Linked DNA regions of Oryzias latipes. The protein of the gene in region 1 interacts with the protein of each later gene in a pairwise test. Links are inferred from orthologs where the notes say so. Each region holds a gene or a part of one and is shown in the gene's direction. Other genes may lie near its edges.

Region 1 (3,169 bases):
ACAGCTGTGGCTGTTAATAACTTAAACTTTCTGGTGACTTTGAATTTTGGGAAAACACAAAACACAGGATAGAATAAAATAAGTTAGTTTCTGATGGTTTGAAGTTCAAATTCAAATGAAAATTTCCTTTATAAAATCATAACATTGTATTGATGCACTAACCTTTAAAATTCCAGCTTTTTTTTTGGCCTTTTTTTGATTAGTAGAAAGTGTATTCTTTTTAATTTTTAAGTGATAAAAAACGGATTCCATCTAATGTTTGACATCAAAATAGGTATTTGCACATTGCCAATCCATCACATCATTAGCATCTGGCTGCTATATGTATATCTACCAGTTTTTTTACACTCTGCAATTTAAGACACTTATGCAAAGCTTGTAAAATAAACTTTAGTGAAGTTTGCCCTTACTTTGACCCTAACCTTAACCATAAGTATTGCACACAAATGCACAAATACATATTAGCTGGATGATAACACTATTTTACAGAGGCCAATGCACTTGTGAGCTACAGTAAAATGTTACAGTATATTCACTTTATTTGGTTTCTTATCACACACATTAACTCTGGGTTATTTCCAAGAATTTTTGGATTTACAACTGAAGAGCGTTTTCCTTTCGATGACCCTAAAACACCTTTAAACTGATCTATGCTCATATTTTCATTGATTGCACACTTTAGACTTTTTTATATTCATTAGTAAACTAGCAATAGCACAGCTAAACTTCAGGCAATATTTTCTTTTAACATGTGCTTAATAACATTCTTAAGCAGACTGACATCAAGTCTGTTGTAACCTGGTGTGTCAAACATTAAAACCTGATAAACAATGAAATGTTTATGAGCAGAGTTCAGAAATATTCACGTTGCCTCCCTGATAAATGCCATTCCTCAGATAATTTATCTCACTCAAGCTCGGTTTATTTTTTGAACCCATGAAGATGTTTCTGTGAAATTCCACACCAGCTCCAGAACTCCATAGTCTTTCTCTCCATCTGTTTTTACCAGCTGTAAACACGTCTTTATCTTCTTCACCCTGAGATCCTGTTTGCTCTGCAGTTTTGCTCTTAAGTTAAGTTGGGAGGCTAAAAGCAACGCTTGTGTTTACCGTTTGACTTTTTGTGTGCTGCTTCACATGCAGCTGTGGTTTCGGTGGACAAAGAGCTCCAGTATGTGACGGGACTGCAGAGGCCATGGCTGAATGACACGACTTCTCCCTGCTTCCAGAATCATTCCCCAACAACTTACCGGAGACACTCAAAAGATATAAATACACATAATTGGCATTGTCCTCTCCGAGTCCCAGGGCAACAGGAGAGTTGACGCCCCGGCCCATCACATTTCATCCCTTACATCACACTTGTTAAAGCACAAGTGTGAAGAGGAGGCCGTTGGTTATATAAAGCGTGTGAGTGGATTGCTGCGGACTCCAAAATAGGCTTTTCCCCAAACCTCCTGCTTACTTACAGTTTTTGAGTTTCGTTTTGGTTGGTCTGATCTCGTCTTGCATTTTTCTGTCAGGTGGGAGCAAGAGCTTTTATTTTCAGTCTCCTTTTCTTGAGTTTTGAACCACATGGGTGATCAAAATAAAACACTATCCCGGCCCATATTCCGTCGAGATGTCCGCTGGGATCCTTTCCCAAACTGGACTCAGCCAAGCCGTATTTTTGCCCAGGACTTCGGCATTCCTCCTTTCCTGGAGCCCAATGATCTGGACTGGCTTGACTGGGCAAAAAAGAGACTGGCTTCTTTCTCCTGGCCGGGTTACACGCAAAGCCCCCTCCTGCCTCCCATCACGCCGGACCAGAAGAGTCTGAGACAACTGACTAGCGGTGTGTCTGAGGTGAGAACGGGGCAAAACAGCTGGAAGATCAACCTGGACGTCAATCATTTTTCACCCGAAGAGATCTCCATCAGCACAAAGGATGGCTACTTGCAAATATCAGGTACGTAGGCTTAATTTTTTTTCATTTTATACATAAAGATGTTTATTAATAATTACTGTTTTTTTTAAGGAACTCATGAAGAAAAGCAAGATGAACACAGTTTGGTTTCAAGATGTTTCACTCGTAAATACAAGTAAGGAGGCTGAGAAGCAAATTCGAGACACATTTAGGATGCGACCGTAACATATTTCTGTTTGTGACAAACGTTCTCTCATTTTTTTCGAGGTTACCACAAGGGGTGAATCTGCAGCACATCAGCTCATCCCTGTCCTCAGAAGGAATGTTGTCCGTAGAAGCTCCCGTCCCAGGAACATCCATCAGCAGCCCGGACAATGAGATCGTCATCCCCGTTCAGACCAAAAAGACACAGGACAGTGAGAAATGAACATAGTGAGCAGAAAGTAGCTCAAACTGTGCATAGCAGCAATTATTAAAATTACACAAAGCAGACTAGATTGCTTAAATTTAATGTTATCATTTGCTTTTTGGGAGATTTGAGACTTTTATAATCTAATTTAAACTTAATAAAAAGCAGAAATGGTATTGGATCCAATAAAACAAACCCTTGCTGTCCTTTTTAATTTTGTAATTTTGCACTAAAATTTTGTTTACTATAAACTGGTCTTTATCTTACTGTTCTTGTAGAATGATTGTATTATGCAATTTCAGCCTTCACAATGAAACAGAAATAAAATTTGGTAAAAATACATTTCTTTCACAGATTGTGGTTTTGTCACAATATTCATTCTTGCAGCTCAAACTTTTTTTTAACATGAAAACTTACACCTAAAAACAGGTCAGAGGTCACCAATTTTTTACAACCCATAATAACTAACAGTATATTGTAAGGATCAATATTTTAGGCAAGGACACGGAAAAAAGAATAGACAAAAAAAGTCTTTTTGTAGCTGTGCAGCAAAAATTTACTGTTACTAAATTTAAAACGGTGTGAAGTATGATATTGTTTGTACGAGGTTTCTGAAAATATTATATCATTACCTTGTAAAACAGTTTTAACTGCAAATTTAATAAAGATTTAAAGACTTAACTTAATTTTTTTACCTCTTAAAAACTCTACCTTAATTTGGGGGAAATGGAGACAGCACTCCAAAGTTATATAAAACAAAAATAAAACAAATCTAATATTAATAAAAAGACAAACTTAAAATTAAATTAGTTTTGCTCTTTCCCCCCCCTTTAAAGTTCTCTTTAAGTACAAAAG
Region 2 (4,053 bases), on another chromosome or scaffold:
TACCTGTAACAGTACTTTAAGGAAAAGTCAATGGAGGCTTGGACATCATAAAACTTTCCAGGATGGAACAGGAAAAATCCAGTGCACGTGATCAACAGCTAGGGTATATTCTTTAAGATGCAGAGATCATTCAGGGGGACAAAGGACGTAAAGAAATAGTAATCACTGCTTAAATAATGAATAAAAGCATTAATTGATCTTTTTCTAAAAGCTTTAAATTTAGATCACTCATTGTTAAAAAATACATAAATTAAAATTTCTTCCTTTTATTGCAGACATTCTGAACTAAAGGACAGTTCAATTTATATTAAAACTCATTTTACAATAAATTTCTTGTGCCATCTATGGGCAACTTTCTTTCCTTACTTTAGGCTATGTTTGGATATTCCTTTGTAAATACACCATGTTTCAGTAAATATTTGTTGTGGCAGTATGTGTATGACAGAAAATTTCTACATTTGAAAAAATGCTTATTCAACTAATGAGCAGGTAAGTTACAATTTTTAAGAATATAGTTTCAAGCTATGCATTACCATCTTATTTGTGGGAAAATAAATAAATAAATGCATTAATAACTAATGGAAAAATTAGAAAATAATAATAATAACTCAAGCAATACTTGAAACAATAACTATTAGTCACTATTACTATTTAATGTTTCTCTTCTTGTTTTTAGTTTGGCGTGTTTACGACTTCTTACTGTTGTAACATTTGTTTACGTCTTTTACTTAAAGCACGTTGTGTTCTGCATGATGACAAAGGGTGCTCTGCAAATCAAGTGATCAAATGATTGGTTCAAAAATGGAGAAAAATTATCTTTATACACCTTTCATTTTTTTTATTATTTTAAGCCTTTCATGTGTATTTTTTTGGAAAACAGTATTTATTTATTTGTCAGCACATCATTCTCACATTTAATTTTTGTCCTTTAAAAATGTATATTTCTGCATACGGGTGTAATTTTCCTTACTATGAATAATGTAAGTTCACATGTTGCAATAGAACCAATAAATTAACACAAATCTAAAAAGTCTAAAATCTATAATCCATTCCGCGGTGAGAAAACCGACACTAGAAATATGTAGAGATTTTTTTAACCACTATTTCTTTGGTACGGACCTCTATTTCATACCATAATTCAAAACCCACTTTGTTGTATAATGCTTTGTGCGCATGTGTGTGCAGCAAGACACATCTCTTCAGGAATGATGTCATGTTTTTCAAATACGCAGCCTGCAACATCCGGGTCCTGCCTCTGACTCGTTGCTTCCTAGAAGCTAACGGTGGCTAGCAAGCTGTCAAACCTGTCAAGTGGAGAGACAGGAATAGACGATTCAGCCTCCCTGGGCTTAGCTGTGCAAAGCTTCGTTCTCCCAATCCCTTACATACGAAAAATTGAAGAATTTGTTTACTCGCCACACGAGATAATGTGATGCTTTGCGGGTGCGCGCAAAAGGGGACCGCCGCATTACCACTGTTTATACAGAATCTTGAGTGACGACTTCTTATTGCTAGCTATAGGCTAGCTAGCTAAGGTAAACTACCGCAAAACCCTGTTTTTAGCGTTGTACATTTTGTGCCGAATACTACAATCTCCTGGATCTTATTTTTGTCGCAATTTTTTTCACTTCCAGCGGCTGTCCTGATATTTGGTAAGTAAGTCGTATAATGTTTACTCGGTTTCAAAAGTACTGTTAAAGGTATAAGTGTTGTGAGCTATCAATGCTAAGTTAGCATACCGATGGTAGATTAGCAAGGCCGACGGCTTTGCTCGCCTTTTAACATTTTAGCAAAACATGAAAGTAGGCTGTTGTAGTTAGCTTTGGGGCACAAGGGTCAAGGCCCTCAATTAGGCAAGGGTGTTTGAGTACCAAATGAGACCGGTCCATACAAATTTAACTACCCGCTGTAAACCAACGCCTAAAACTTAAAACAGATACGCACTGAGCAACGCAAGTGCATGCTACTAACTAGCCATGTAACTTCAGCATTAGCATTAGTGTAACATTTTGTCAAAGGTTGAGCTTGGTAGTTCTTTTTGAGAAACTGGTCACACAGGTAAAGCTGGGATTATTTAGCTTTAGGCATCAAACTGTGCTTTTACTTGAATTAACCAGTTTAACCAGTGCTGGGGTGTTTAAAATACGAAGGTCAGAAACGTGCATTGACACATTTATAATTTCGTTTCTGTACCGTTGTCTTAGAACTTAAACCAGTGCTATAAGGCGTTTTAATTCACTTGAAACGAATAACGTTCTAAATACATATCCAAAACATATTCACTGGTCTTCTATTTATGTTTCAGAGTAAGGACCTAAACTCAGCTTTAAGATTCTAATCCTAGGTTTTATGACCTGATATTAACCTGATGATGACTAAACGTTGTAACTTGCCTGTGAACATTTTTAAATTTGCATGGCTTTAAGTAAAGTGTAAGTCTTTGATTTCATGATAATTTTGTACAGTAAAATGTGTTTTTATTTGTTTTTTAAATTTTTATCAATTTTAAAAATAATTTATTTTTAGAATCCACTGCTCACTTTTCTTTTATTTAGCAGCACGGAATGTCATAAACAATCAATATTTATAATACTTATAGGCTGCTTTATGAAGATTTAATGTTATTGGTATTTGTCAATTTTTTATTGTGTTTAAGTATTTGAATGGTGTCAGACCATTTAGTCTCGTTTTGGGTTCATATTAATCACAGTATAGATTTTTATGGTAATTTATTTCATCCAAACTGTGAGGCTTTACAGCAAAGATATGTTTTTACTTCCTTTTTGTTGTTTTTATAAATGAATGTTCTTCTTTTTGATTAAACGTAAAGAAACCTAGTTGGTCATACTTTAATACTTGTACACGTTAAAAAACAATTTTTTCTTTAAAAAAAACTGGGTTTTGTCTAAATTCTCTCCATGCTCCCCAACTGCTAAAACCGTGCAAGACTATCTATTGCCCTGGATTTTAAAAGCAATTCGGACACCACGCTCTCCATTTTTTTCCTTCTGCAATGGAAGATATGGTTTCAACGATTTCCCGAAGTAAAAATCGAATAAATATGAACATTTTACAAAGACTATTTATGAATCCATTGTGTTCTGATTATGGAACCTGTATAGTTTATAAAAAATAAAGAGAGTTCTCTTTTCCACATGAAAAGTTGTTCAAACTCATTGTATTGTGATGTAGATTCACCAATCTAGTGAGCATTGATGCACACTGGTTTTTTGCAGAGACCTGGAAAATTTAAGGGGCACTCGATTTTGTAGAGCCGGACAACTCCTCAAAATGGCAAATGCACCATAGTGCTTCATGATAACAACTTAGATCTATTAATCAAGGTCTATTAGAATATTGAACAATAATAGATTGGGTGTTTATACTCTTCAGATTGCTGCTTTTGACTGTTTATTCCTGAAATGTCTTACCTAGATATTTTTCTTTTACCTTTTTGTTAACAGGCTTTCAGGGTGACACAATGGGTGCATTTCTGGACAAACCAAAGATGGAAAAACATAACAACTCTGGGGAGGGAAACGAGCTAAGGTTTGGGTTGAGCAGCATGCAGGGATGGCGGGTTGAGATGGAAGATGCGCACACAGCAGTAGTTAGTTTGCCTTCGCCTCTTCAGTGCTGGTCATTTTTTGCTGTATATGATGGGCATGCTGGCTCTCAGGTGGCCAAGTACTGCTGTGAGCACCTGCTAGAGCACATCACTAGTAGCCAAGGCTTCCAGAGTGCTCTGAAGGAGAAATCTGAAAGCACGGTGGATAAAGTTAAGGATGGCATCCGCTCTGGATTCTTGATGTTTGACGAACACATACGAAACTTGTCTGAAAAGAAGCATAGTAATGACCGCAGTGGCTCCACCGCTGTAGGGGTGATGATTTCTCCAAGCCATTTGTACTTCATTAACTGTGGGGACTCGCGTGGAATCCTTAGCAGGAGTGGATTGGTGAAATTCTTCACAGAGGATCACAAGCCAAGCAACCCACTAGAGAAGGAAAGGATCCAGAATGCTGGTGGCTCAGTCATGATCCAGCGTGTTAA
Region 3 (4,307 bases), on another chromosome or scaffold:
CCTCCATGTTTCACAGTAGGGACAGTGTTCTTTTCATTGTATGCTTCTCTATGAACATAGAACGGATGTGCCTTACCAAAAAGCCCCAGTTTTGTGTCATCTGTCCAGAGGACATTTTCCCAGAAGCTTGGTGGCTTGTCAACATGCATTTTTGCAAATTCCAGTCTGGCTTTTTTATGATTTCCTTTCAACAGTGGTGTCCTCCTTGGTCGTCTCCCATGTAGTCCACTCTGGCTCAAACATCGACGAATGGTGCGATCTGACACTGATGTACCTTGATCTAGGAGTTCACCTTTAATGTCTTTGGAGGTTGTTCTGGGCTCTTTGGATACAGTTCCAACTATCCGTCTCCTCAATTAGTCTTCAATTTTCCTCTTCCGGCCACGTCCAGGGAGGTTGGCTACTGTCCCGTGGGTCTTAAACTTCTGAATAATATGTGCCACTGTCGTCACAGGAACTTCAAGCTGCTTAGAGATGGTTTTATGAGCCCAGACCTGAATCCCATTGAACATCTGTGGAAGGAGCTGAAACATGCCATTTGGAGAAGACACCCGTCAAACCTGAGACAACTGGAGCACTTTGCTCATGAGGAGTGGGCCAAAATACCTGTGGACAGGTCCAGAAGGCTCATTGACAAATGCAGAAACTGTTTAATTGCAGTGATTGCCTCAAAAGGTTGTGCAACAAAATATCGAGTTATGGGTACGATCATTTTTGTCCAGCCTTATTTCATTAGTTTGTTTTTTTAAATAATTCTATTAATCAACGACTCAAAAGCAATGGCTGATTTTGATTATTTAATTTTCAACAAATTTTAATATATTGTTACTTTTGAACGTTTCAAGTCATTTCAGTGAGCATTGTGGGCTTTCTTTCTTTAACTGAGGGGTACCAACAATTTTGTTCACCACTGTTTATAATGCACAGTCTCTAAGCTGAAATCAGAAAGCACACAATAAAGAATTGATCAAATTTCCAGTCTGTGTTCTAGTATTCTTTAGTGCAGTTGATGCTGATCAAAGCTGTAAGCCTGCTGTGTTTACAGCCTTTTTTTAATGCAAGATACTAGACTGAACCACATCATTCTGTTGTATTAAAGATTTGGATCCTGATGAGTGTAGGTGAAAAGAAATACAAAATTTCAAAATACTAAATACTTAAGCAAATTAGCTAGTCCAATAATGGCTTTAAAAAAATTTTTTTTATATCTAGCTATATTACAATCTGCATAAAATTTCACACTAAATAATAGATCTATTTTATTGTATTGCTTCATCACTAAAATTACTTAAATAAAACACAGCAATGTAGCTTTCTAACATTAAAAAACAAACAAACAAAAAAAAAAAACAGGACAACAAATCGTCCAAAACCTTGTTGATCCTTTTCACAAACAGTAACCCAAAAATGTAATTTGGCTGTAAGTTAATAATTTTAAAGTTGGGAGTATCTGCCCACAAAAACGCGAAAGGACAGGTGTTGGCCCAAACTTCAAACCTCAGGCTTGATGGAACACCTGTCGACCCAGCATCCTTTGCGTATCCAATATGGAAGAACTGGCGGTGGAGGTCCGTGGCTCTCGCGGCGCTTATTACAAGGTAAATACCGGGGCATCCGTGCACCTTTGACCTTCTGTCTTTCACAAATTGTTTACTATGATAACCTAAGTTCATTGGACTTGATTACGTGTCCCATCTTCCTCTAAATTCATCCAGCTGCTTGCTGTAAGCCTTTAGCAGAGTTAGCCAAAATTAGCAGGCTAGGCTAACGTCGATGATTGTGAACATTCGTTATTTATGATTATTATATTGACTATAATCAAATCCAGAAAGCATAATCCGTTTTGTAAGACAGCTGACTTGTTTTATAGTGTATCTTTTAACACACAATGGACTTTTTCTTCGGGTTTTCGTAAGCTAAAGTTAGCTTACTAGCTCACTGGTAATTCTGTTGACGTCAGGTAGGTTCTTGCCCTAGTTCGGTTGCTAAAGGGCTTTTTACTCCATGGAACATAAGGACGTGATGAGTTTGTTAAATGTACATATTAGGGATTTGAAATCTCGACGTTAGGTTTTCTATGCACGTGGCGTACTTCTTCACACTTGTCTGCCACTGTTCATTCACTGAGACTGTATCATGCCCAAGCTATCTTTACTATTTCTGCGTATGCGAGTCAGCTGTTCCTTGTCAATCCTGAGCAGCTGGCATGCTGGGAGAGGGTCGCTCATTTCAAAGAATTACAGTGTATTTATAGTCCTGCAATCTGAAGTGGCACCAAAGTCTCCCCTTTTCTTCCTTCCATGTCTCCTTTTTCATCATCCTTTCCCCCCCATCTACTATTTTAATTTCTTACTACTACTAGCATAATGTTTAACATGTTTTCTTTTTGCCAGGCCACTTTGTAAACCAACACTACATGCTAAAATAGTTTCACTTGAGTAAATTACAGCTAAACCAAGCAACTGTGGGTATGTTTTGTGAGTTTTGTTACTGTGATTCCAAATATCTCCTAGGAATAATAATTAGAATGGGTTTTGATTTCACTATAGATGTTGCAAAACAAGTTTTTTATTTATTTATTTATTTAATTGTAACTCGACTCCTTTTATACTTGTGTAGGGACTTTCTGAACTCTGAAAAGAAAGAAGTGAAAACATAAGCGATAGATTGTAAGTTGTGGTGTTAGTCTGTAAACAGTAAGTGGAAAAAAAGTGAAGTAGTGGTCCCATTATATCATTTTAAAGTGTTTTTTTAAATGACTTTTAGATTCATTTGAGTCGGGACAAATTCAAGTTTATTTAGACCCAGCCCAGAGTTAACTATGTAATGATAGAAGAGTGAGCATGCAACAGTTACTTTCTTGAGTTTTATCATGCCTTCAAAATATTAAGCAAACTAACAAAGGAAGAGGGACATTTGGGTAAATTTAAATATCTTGAAGTCCCATCAAGCACCCTCTGAGCATCTCCATGTGCCTTTGATTGTCAGTTAGACTAAAAAAAAGAAATTAGAAACGTGTTTACTCTTTACCTGGATATTGTAGGGAAGCTGATTGGTAACATTGATGTTAATCTGAACAAGTCAAAACAGTGAGAAGGGTCATAAATAGATTTTATTCAGAATTTAAGGTTTACCATTATTACTTTGTTCGGATATTTCTTGCGTTTTTTTGTTTAACTGATGTCCTTTTATCCTAAGTTAAAATTTAGAAGTCTCTATGTAACTTTATGGCATTTGTAGTTTTTGTGAGCCTGTAAATGTCTTCTCTGATAGTAAAATGTGAAGATTAAGGGGATAAACAGCTTGTTACATTTTTTTCACTTCAACGAAACCCTTCGGTCTACCCTATGGTTTATTACTTTTCTTTACTGGAAGATCTAGATAGTGTCTGCACATCATGGTTTAGGCAAATGCTTAAAACCACTTTATAAAGCTAAGTTTTGAATCTAGAGGAAACATACATATCTGTTGCATTTTCTATGATAATCTAATAATAATATAAAAACAGATGCTGATTAGCATAAAGAAAGGCAAGGAAAAAAATGAAACTATTTTTGAACAAAAGTTCATGGTAAGTTCTGCTATAGGAGCTGGAACTGCACCACACCTGATCATTACATGACCATAAGGGGAATCATTGACCACTCATGAAATAACAGTTGGATAAGTCTGTTAACCCATACATAACACAAGATAAATGTTAAGCTAGTGATTCAATGTCAGCTTGTCATTTCCAATAGGTATACTGAACTGGGTTTCTGGTAAGGATATTTTTAACAAATGGGAGGACTGTTCTCAGAAGTTTGGACTATGTACAGTGAGGCAAAAACTTATTTGGTAGTTGGGAGCAAGTTGTCCCTCTTAAAAAGATGAGAAAAGTCATAAGTTCACCTCAATGCTTTTTGTAATCCTGTTATCAATGATGGATATCAAATGTTTCCTGTAGGTCTTCTGCAGGTTGGTAAGCACTGTAGCTGATATTTATACACATTTTGTCAGTGTAGATCTTCTCAAGAGCTGTGATGTTCTGGGGCTGTCACTGTGCAACAAAGACTTTCAACTCATTCCAAAGATTCTGTATTGGGTTGGGTCTATTGGACTAACCCACTCCAGAACGTTGAGATACTTTTTACATAGCCACTCCTTTATTGCCTGGGCCACGTGTTTGGCATTGACAGGCCGATGGATCCAGATATATTTAATAGTCAATTATGATGTTGATGGAAGGACGACTTTGCCCAAAATCTCACCATTCATGTGGCGTTAATGGCGACTGTGGTCCAGTGGTAGGGCGGTTGACCTATGAT
Region 4 (3,826 bases), on another chromosome or scaffold:
ATCGTAATTTTTTGTTTGTTTTTTGGTTTATTTGAAACACAGTTTTCTCGCCTTTAGGGGTCTCTCCATACTCCTGCTTCCCTCTTTACATTTGTAATGTCTTATTTCATCCTTCCTTCTGCAGAAAGTGAACTGTGTCCAGTTCAATGAGGAGGCAACTGTCACCTTGTCTGGTAAGAAATCACTTACCGGTACACAACTGTAGTTTAACAATCAGCGCAATATTTCAGCACCAGACAGCTGTTCTCTGTTGCCCCAAAGTGCTGAAGAGAAGAGAAGAGAATTTAGAGGAGTGACCTTAAAGCAAAAAACATAATCAACAAACAAATACAACAAAATTAATGTTATACCCGTATTTTTGCCCCCCATTTCATTGTCACATGCTGCTTGTTCTCACTTTACGTAGGATCCATAGATGGGACAGTGAGGTGCTGGGACAACCGATCAAGAAAATCGGAGCCCATCCAGATCTTAGATGAGGCTCGTGACGGCATCAGCAGCCTCAAAGTGGTTCAGCATGAGCTGCTCACTGGGTCAGCCAAGAATGATCACAGAAGCTCATGATTATCACCTAAGTCAACCGTTTACTAACCCTAGAAAACGTCTTTGGTTAGGTCAGTGGATGGCAGGGTGAGGCGCTATGACCTGAGAATGGGACAGCTGCATGTGGACTTTATTGACAGTAAGAGGTTTTTTTCTCTTTTACAGAAACTGCAAAAGATTCTGTGTTTATTGCAGTTCAGTTTGTTGAGGTAAATGTGGTAAGTTAATGCCTTAGTCACATACAGCCATATGGGTGATGCAGGTGTTTGGGTTGTCTGGATACGTGGAGTGTCATAGACAGGTGCGGCCGCATGTTACAGGTAACGCAGGTTAGTCCTGCAGTCCTGTACGTTCAGAATGTACGATTGCCGGCCTGTGTTAAGTGTATCCTGAAGTATTTGTAAAGATAATGTAAGTTGCACGCACCTATAAAAATAATAATAATATAATACTACTAATAATAATACACTTTATTTGTATAGCACCTATCAAGATAAAAATCACAAAGTGCTTCACAGTAAATCACAATAAAACAGTAAAATACGATAAAACACAATAAAACACAGTAAAACACAGTAAAACGCAGAAACTAAAACATAATTAAGAAAAAGCAATTTTAAAAAGATAGGTTTTTAGCACCTTTAGTTTTTAACCGGTTTCGTTTAACAACCAGCAGACCTGCTGGGGGTGTACGGCTGCAAAAGGTCTTTTAAGTAGACCGGTGCTTGGCTATTAAGAGCTGTTTATCTTAAAACCAGGATTTTAAAATGCACTCGGTAGCGGATGGGGAGTCAGTGCAGCTGGATTAACAACGGGGTGACGTGTGAACACTTAGATGATTTAGTTAAAGCCTTGCAGCAGCGTTCTGGACAGCCTGGAGCCGTCCTAAAGATGATGCAGTAACCTATGATGTATTGGTGATGCTGTCGTGTGGTGCCCTTTCTAGTGAAACCACACGACAGCATCATGACAGAGTCTAGTCATTAGTAAGTACTGACCACATGCAAATGCTGCTTGCAAATGCTGCTTGCACGAGATGTGCATGTGTTTTGTTTGTACGTATGTATTATCTTCATTTCCAACAACATCCGCATTTTAATTACTTCACCCACTCACTTACCCTTACATGTTGAATAAGTGTTTGCTACGACTTAAAAATTAAATTAAAATTTCCAATGGGCCACCTGTATTCCCTGTACAGGTTTGACCATTTTTGCCCACAGACAGCCCATATCTACCCATAAGGGCAGTTGTGGCTAAGGCAGAAGCGAACACGTTACACTTTTCTATATTAAGCATGTTTCTGTCTGTACGTTCCAGGTCCCATCACCTGTGTGTGTTTCAGTCAAGATGGTCAGTGCACCCTGAGCTCCAGCTTGGACTCTGCAGTTAGACTGCTGGACAAAAGCACGGGGGAAATGCTGGGAGAGTGAGTTCCAAAAAACAGAATTCACGTCCACAGTGTTTTTGTCAGTGTGCAAATAATGACATTATAAAATTAACAAACACTCATTTATAAATCATCTTTCAAAAGTAAAATTAAGAATAAAAGTAATGTAAAAATAATAAAATCTACTAAGAACCAATGTTTTAGAAAAACTGCATGAAATTACAACTGGAAATTGTTTTTGCTGTTATCAATGACACACTTTAAACCCCTGAAATGTATTTTGTGTTTTTGCTTTTAAGTAGATGCTAAATTATATAATTTTGGAACAGAGTTGGTTTAATGTATATTTTCTTCCAGGGCTTTAAAATTAAACCCAGCCACTCACCAAATGCACATAAAACCTTAATTTGGCGTGTAGGAAAATAAATTCACTAGCCACTTTGGCAGGTGAGACACTGATTATCATTTCTGACGGGGGCTCAACTTGCATCAGGACTTTTAAGTGTCCGGCTCGGGTTGGCTGGGTGGGGGATTGATGATTTTTTTAAAGTTTTGTGTGAAATCTGAAGCAGAATTTCTGAATTGAGAAAAGTTGTGTTTAGGTTGTAATAGTAGTACCTTTATTTATCCAGGTGTTTAAGAACAAGATATTTTGTTTTTTACAAACATTGCCGTGAAGTAAATTCTTTGTTGTGATGTGTCACTGATGGTTGTTGGTGTAGATATAAAGGCCACAAGATGAAGGGCTACAAGCTGGACTGCTGTTTGTCGAACAGAGACACACACGTCTTGAGCTGCTCAGAGGACGGCCATGTGTACTGCTGGGACCTGGTGGAGGTGAGTGTTCATCAGAGTCACCGCATTTCCCACTGCTGTATTTGATCAAATATGAGCAGTAGTTTTTCAATCTAATAGCACATTAAAGTAGAAACAAAAGAATCCCAAAAAGCTTGTTTTTTTCTTTCCTACACTTTAAGGGTTCTTTGTCTTTGAAGCTGCTGGTGGGGACAGCAGTTGTCCAGTCCTTGTCCTTCCATCCATCAGAGACCCGCCTTCTCACAGCTATGGAGGGCCGTGTTCAGGTGTGGAGTGCAGAGCCAGAGGAGACGGAGGATGAAGCGCCGCTCTTATAAAAGCATGAATGGAGCCACGACACAGTTGTGTATTTGACTGCAGCGCTCAGTTTTTGCATCAGCACACATGCAGCTGCTGCAGAGTTTCAAACAATGTCGATTTTCAACTGTTGGATGTTGGGGAGCTTTTACTCTCCTGACAAACATTATTGGACTCGAGCTTTACTAATAACTTTGTAAATGTTGGCTGAGTAACTTTTGAGATATTTTGTACATTAAACAGACTCACAAAGACTGTAAAAAAAAGTTTATTTTTATGGACTCTACACACACTGTAGAAAATAAATTAATCCGCAAGTCCAAAAACATTTAAATAAATAAATAGAATTATTTTACAAAAATATTTTGTTGTTTTTTAAGTCTTTCCAGCAAAGACTAAGTCTACAACATTTTTTAAAACACTACCACGGTTTCATAGCTTCAAGATTACACTGGAGAGCTTAACTTAATACTTCATCATTCTACATCAAGTTTTTTTTCTTTATTCAAACAAAATCAAGTGTTTTTTTTCATTATCATGTTTCCACTAACCCTCATTTAATGTGCCAAAATGTAACTAAAAAGTCTTTCTGGTCATCAGCTCTTTTGTCAGGCCGTCTGTCTGACCCGAATTCCTCAGATTTTCCTTCCAAAGTGGCCGAAAAAGTAACATTTTAATATCATCTTAGTTTTGAGCACCTGCCCTCTCACCTCCCCACTCATTGTCCAACGGTCTTAGCCCACACAGCTGCAGCCCGCAGCAGACAGCTTCTCCACCTTG
Region 5 (3,237 bases), on another chromosome or scaffold:
CATATTGTGATGAATATGAGCAAACTTATGACTGACTGACAGTAACCAGGAACAACACATCAGCACTTCCCATTAAACAACAATGAATCCCAGCCAGATAATACAGCCTTCTTACCATAAAAGACTGCCACTCATAGCATTCATGTTTATTGGTATATATAGCTTTAAGTTTGATGACAGGTGAGGAAGTACATTTGTGATTAATTTGAAATACAGCATGCAGCTGTATACATTTTTAAAGTTATAGGTAGGATTTTTAATTAACCCCAACTTACATGTCAACTTTACATCTAAAAATTCTCTTATTATAATTAAATACCCACTCAGATGGAAATTGATTTTTTTTGTTGGTGTTTTTAACATGTTTCTATGACATAGATAAAGAAAATTCAGCTTAAAATAGCATTTTTAAGTATTTCTTTATTCAAAGAGTTGTGAATCAGGAGCAGACAGAAAAATGCAGTTTGAAAAAGGTTGTAGGTGTGATGTAGAAAATACCACCACACCAAAATATAACATGCAAACCACAAGCTCCCTGCTCCGCTCCATTCAGTTTGATTTCAAAAGTGCAGTGTAAAAGCAAATCAGACTACTAAAAATTATGGTTTGCTATTCTGCACCCAACGGAACCATGCTGGTGGTCGGTTCTGAACCTGAATTCATTTTTGTTTGCTTACTTAAGAGGGATTAGTGAAACCTCAGCCTGAACTACAGTGAAGAAAATGGGACTTTGTTCTGGAATATTGCTATAGTGAAAAAAAAAACCTGCTGTTAGTTTTCTGGTGGGCATCTTCAGGCATGCAGACGTAATCATTTTCTCCAACGTTTGAAGTACGATACAACTAAAGCAGATGCAGAAGGAACTAAACTAATACTAGAGTGAAGTTACTTCTGTAATGATCAGGATTTTCTTCTTGTAAATTCTCTCTTTTCATTGCGTAATGAAGTATTTTTTTAAGTTTGTATAAGATCAGTATAATTGATATCTTTAAAAAAAATTGTTCACATTTACCAGATTAGAAAAAAAAGATACAACCCCCTCAATTCTGTGGTAAATCAGTGGGACTCAGATGTAGGTTGGTAGCAGTTTGACCTTAAGCTCACCTGTTTGCAGGCGCTGGAGAGGTTCTATGAGGCTGTGATGCAGGCCATCCTCCGCCACATCAATTTTGATGGTAAGACAGTCGCACACAGTAATAGAAATGCAGTGTTTTTGTTATATTTACAGGTTGTCTGAGAAAGAAATGAGTGTCTATTGGAACTCTTTCCTTCCTGTGTTTAGTGGTGAAGTGTATCCTGGTTGGCAGTCCTGGTTTTGTGAAGGACCAGTTCATCTCCTACATGTTCAAGGAAGCCGTGCGGCAGGACAACAAGCTCCTGCTGGAGAACCGGCCCAAATTCATGCTCGTCCACTCATCATCAGGTCATAAGTATTCACTCAAAGGTAGGAGCTCCTTCACCTAAAATTAAATAAATTAAATAATAAAGAAAATAAATCCAAAATGTCTTAAGTGTATTTAAATATTTGCTGCTTTGCAGAAATCCTTTGTGACCCCACTGTGACAAGTCGGCTTTCTGACACCAAGGTGATCGCACTTCAGTGATCCATCAGCCTCATCTATTAACTTAGAAGACAAACACAACAGATGAAATAAAAAAGGGAGATACAGCACAGGGTCATGGCACAGAAAAGTTCATATTACTTCAGAAATAAAGCCAGGAAAATGTGGAATGAGTATACATACAAAGTCTTAATATGACAGTAAAATACTGTATTTATATTTCTAAACTAGTTGTGAACTTTTGTGACATTCTTGTTAATGTATCACATATTTCAAATTTAGTTAACAGTTTAAAATGCATCTTTTAAAATAATTAATATACATTTTAGTGCTGTCTGCCTATGTTCTTTATGTTACATTCATTTGTACCTCTTACATGTATCATTTATGGAGGTTTGAAAGTTTTTAGTGCTTTTTTTCTATCCAAGGATTCGGAAGGAAAAGATTTAAAAAAAAATGAGCTTAGAGCCACAGAATACATTTTATTTGTACCTGTTTAATATTTTTAAATATTATTTTTCATGTCACTATTTTTGCCAATCCTTTGATGTTATAGGTGTAGGAATAATATACATATTAAAAAGAATACAATTTGCCAAATTGATTGAGTCGAAGCTCTTGCTCAAAGGGAGGATTTGTGGTTTGAACCCAATCTTTTTGACCTATTCAGTCGTACAAACGGTTTTCTCTACATGTAACCCTCAGGCAGCAGGAGAGGTGAAAGCTCTGGAGGACTTCTACAAGATGCTTCAGCATGAGCCCAACAGAGCGTTCTACGGGTGAGAGATGACGCACCAGAAGAACCACAACAACAGAGATCCTACAATAACAAGCCTCTCTCTCTCACTGCAGAGTCGCTCACGTGGAGAAAGCTGCGGACGCGTTGGCCGTTGACACTCTGTTGATAAGCGATAAGTTATTCAGGTGAGTTTTGCCAAATACAGAACAAACGTTACATATTGTCTGTTAAAGTTGTAATGTATGAAATGAACTTTAACCCTTTAATAATAATAATAATGGATTAGATTTATCCAGACGCACAAAGCGCTTACAATGTGTCCATTATTTATTCACTCATGTATACTTGGTGTTAGTAGAGGCGTAGCTGCCAGTTTGCGCCTATGGTCCCTCTGACCATCGCCGGGACATTCATACGCATTCACACACCAGTGGAGCAACACTGGAGGCAGCGTCTTGCCCAAGGACACAACGACAAATGACTGGGGGGAGCAGGGATCGAACCGCCGACCCTTCGAATATTGGACGACCTGCTAAACCTCCTGACCCACTTTAAGTCTGATTTTTTTTTTTTTTTTTTTTTGGTTGCAGGCATCAGGACGTTCCCACCAGGAGTCGTTACGTCCGGCTTGTTGACAGCGTGAGAGACAACGGAGGAACTGTCAGGTAACTTTTGATTCAAGGACACTAATATTTCTGCTTCCAGCATTTCTGAATTTTATCTGCAACATTGGTTTTATGTTCAAGCCCCACTTTGTTTTTAGAGTGGTTTCTTTTATTTTCAGCTGTTCTATGTGTAACAAAATGGAAAAGGAAAACATAGGAAGTTCCTAAAAACCTGCTCAAAAATTACTGAAAAATTAGGAATTTGAGAACAAAACAATCCTAAACAATAATAAAATGATACTAGGACACTTGGACTTTGGTCCATCCATTC

What was found.
Region 2: the proteins of heat shock protein beta-1 (region 1) and ppm1a interact in a two-hybrid assay, tested with the Homo sapiens proteins (2 studies listed by BioGRID and IntAct). The link is inferred for Oryzias latipes from reciprocal best matches to the Homo sapiens genes HSPB1 and PPM1A.
Region 3: the proteins of heat shock protein beta-1 (region 1) and fxr1 interact in a two-hybrid assay, tested with the Homo sapiens proteins (2 studies listed by BioGRID and IntAct). The link is inferred for Oryzias latipes from reciprocal best matches to the Homo sapiens genes HSPB1 and FXR1.
Region 4: the proteins of heat shock protein beta-1 (region 1) and wdr83 interact in binary tests that used the Homo sapiens proteins (3 or more experiments, as listed by UniProt). The link is inferred for Oryzias latipes from reciprocal best matches to the Homo sapiens genes HSPB1 and WDR83.
Region 5: the proteins of heat shock protein beta-1 (region 1) and pelo interact in binary tests that used the Homo sapiens proteins (3 or more experiments, as listed by UniProt). The link is inferred for Oryzias latipes from reciprocal best matches to the Homo sapiens genes HSPB1 and PELO.

Annotation. Positions count from the first base shown.
Region 1 is NC_019870.2:13,682,174-13,685,342, reverse strand, and holds heat shock protein beta-1, read left to right. Parts: upstream 1-1,381; 5' UTR 1,382-1,574; coding exon 1,575-1,947; intron 1,948-2,016; coding exon 2,017-2,080; intron 2,081-2,172; coding exon 2,173-2,332; 3' UTR 2,333-2,656; downstream 2,657-3,169. UniProt on the Homo sapiens protein: Small heat shock protein which functions as a molecular chaperone probably maintaining denatured proteins in a folding-competent state. Plays a role in stress resistance and actin organization.
Region 2 is NC_019880.2:12,126,100-12,130,152, reverse strand, and holds the start of ppm1a (protein phosphatase 1A), read left to right. Parts: upstream 1-1,238; 5' UTR 1,239-1,535; exon of another isoform or gene 1,536-1,634; 5' UTR 1,635-1,652; intron 1,653-3,464; 5' UTR 3,465-3,481; coding exon 3,482-4,053. UniProt on the Homo sapiens protein: Enzyme with a broad specificity. Negatively regulates TGF-beta signaling through dephosphorylating SMAD2 and SMAD3, resulting in their dissociation from SMAD4, nuclear export of the SMADs and termination of the TGF-beta-mediated signaling.
Region 3 is NC_019862.2:18,754,730-18,759,036, reverse strand, and holds the start of fxr1 (fragile X mental retardation syndrome-related protein 1), read left to right. Parts: upstream 1-1,503; 5' UTR 1,504-1,547; coding exon 1,548-1,598; intron 1,599-4,307. UniProt on the Homo sapiens protein: mRNA-binding protein that acts as a regulator of mRNAs translation and/or stability, and which is required for various processes, such as neurogenesis, muscle development and spermatogenesis.
Region 4 is NC_019859.2:27,121,518-27,125,343, forward strand, and holds the end of wdr83 (WD repeat domain-containing protein 83), read left to right. Parts: intron 1-124; coding exon 125-173; intron 174-406; coding exon 407-533; intron 534-614; coding exon 615-682; intron 683-1,863; coding exon 1,864-1,972; intron 1,973-2,655; coding exon 2,656-2,770; intron 2,771-2,910; coding exon 2,911-3,066; 3' UTR 3,067-3,312; downstream 3,313-3,826. Other genes in the region: pspn (persephin), read right to left, coding at 3,781-3,826. UniProt on the Homo sapiens protein: Molecular scaffold protein for various multimeric protein complexes. Acts as a module in the assembly of a multicomponent scaffold for the ERK pathway, linking ERK responses to specific agonists.
Region 5 is NC_019877.2:7,509,320-7,512,556, reverse strand, and holds part of pelo (protein pelota homolog), read left to right. Parts: intron 1-1,114; coding exon 1,115-1,175; intron 1,176-1,282; coding exon 1,283-1,444; intron 1,445-1,539; coding exon 1,540-1,586; intron 1,587-2,267; coding exon 2,268-2,341; intron 2,342-2,414; coding exon 2,415-2,486; intron 2,487-2,891; coding exon 2,892-2,966; intron 2,967-3,237. UniProt on the Homo sapiens protein: Component of the Pelota-HBS1L complex, a complex that recognizes stalled ribosomes and triggers the No-Go Decay (NGD) pathway.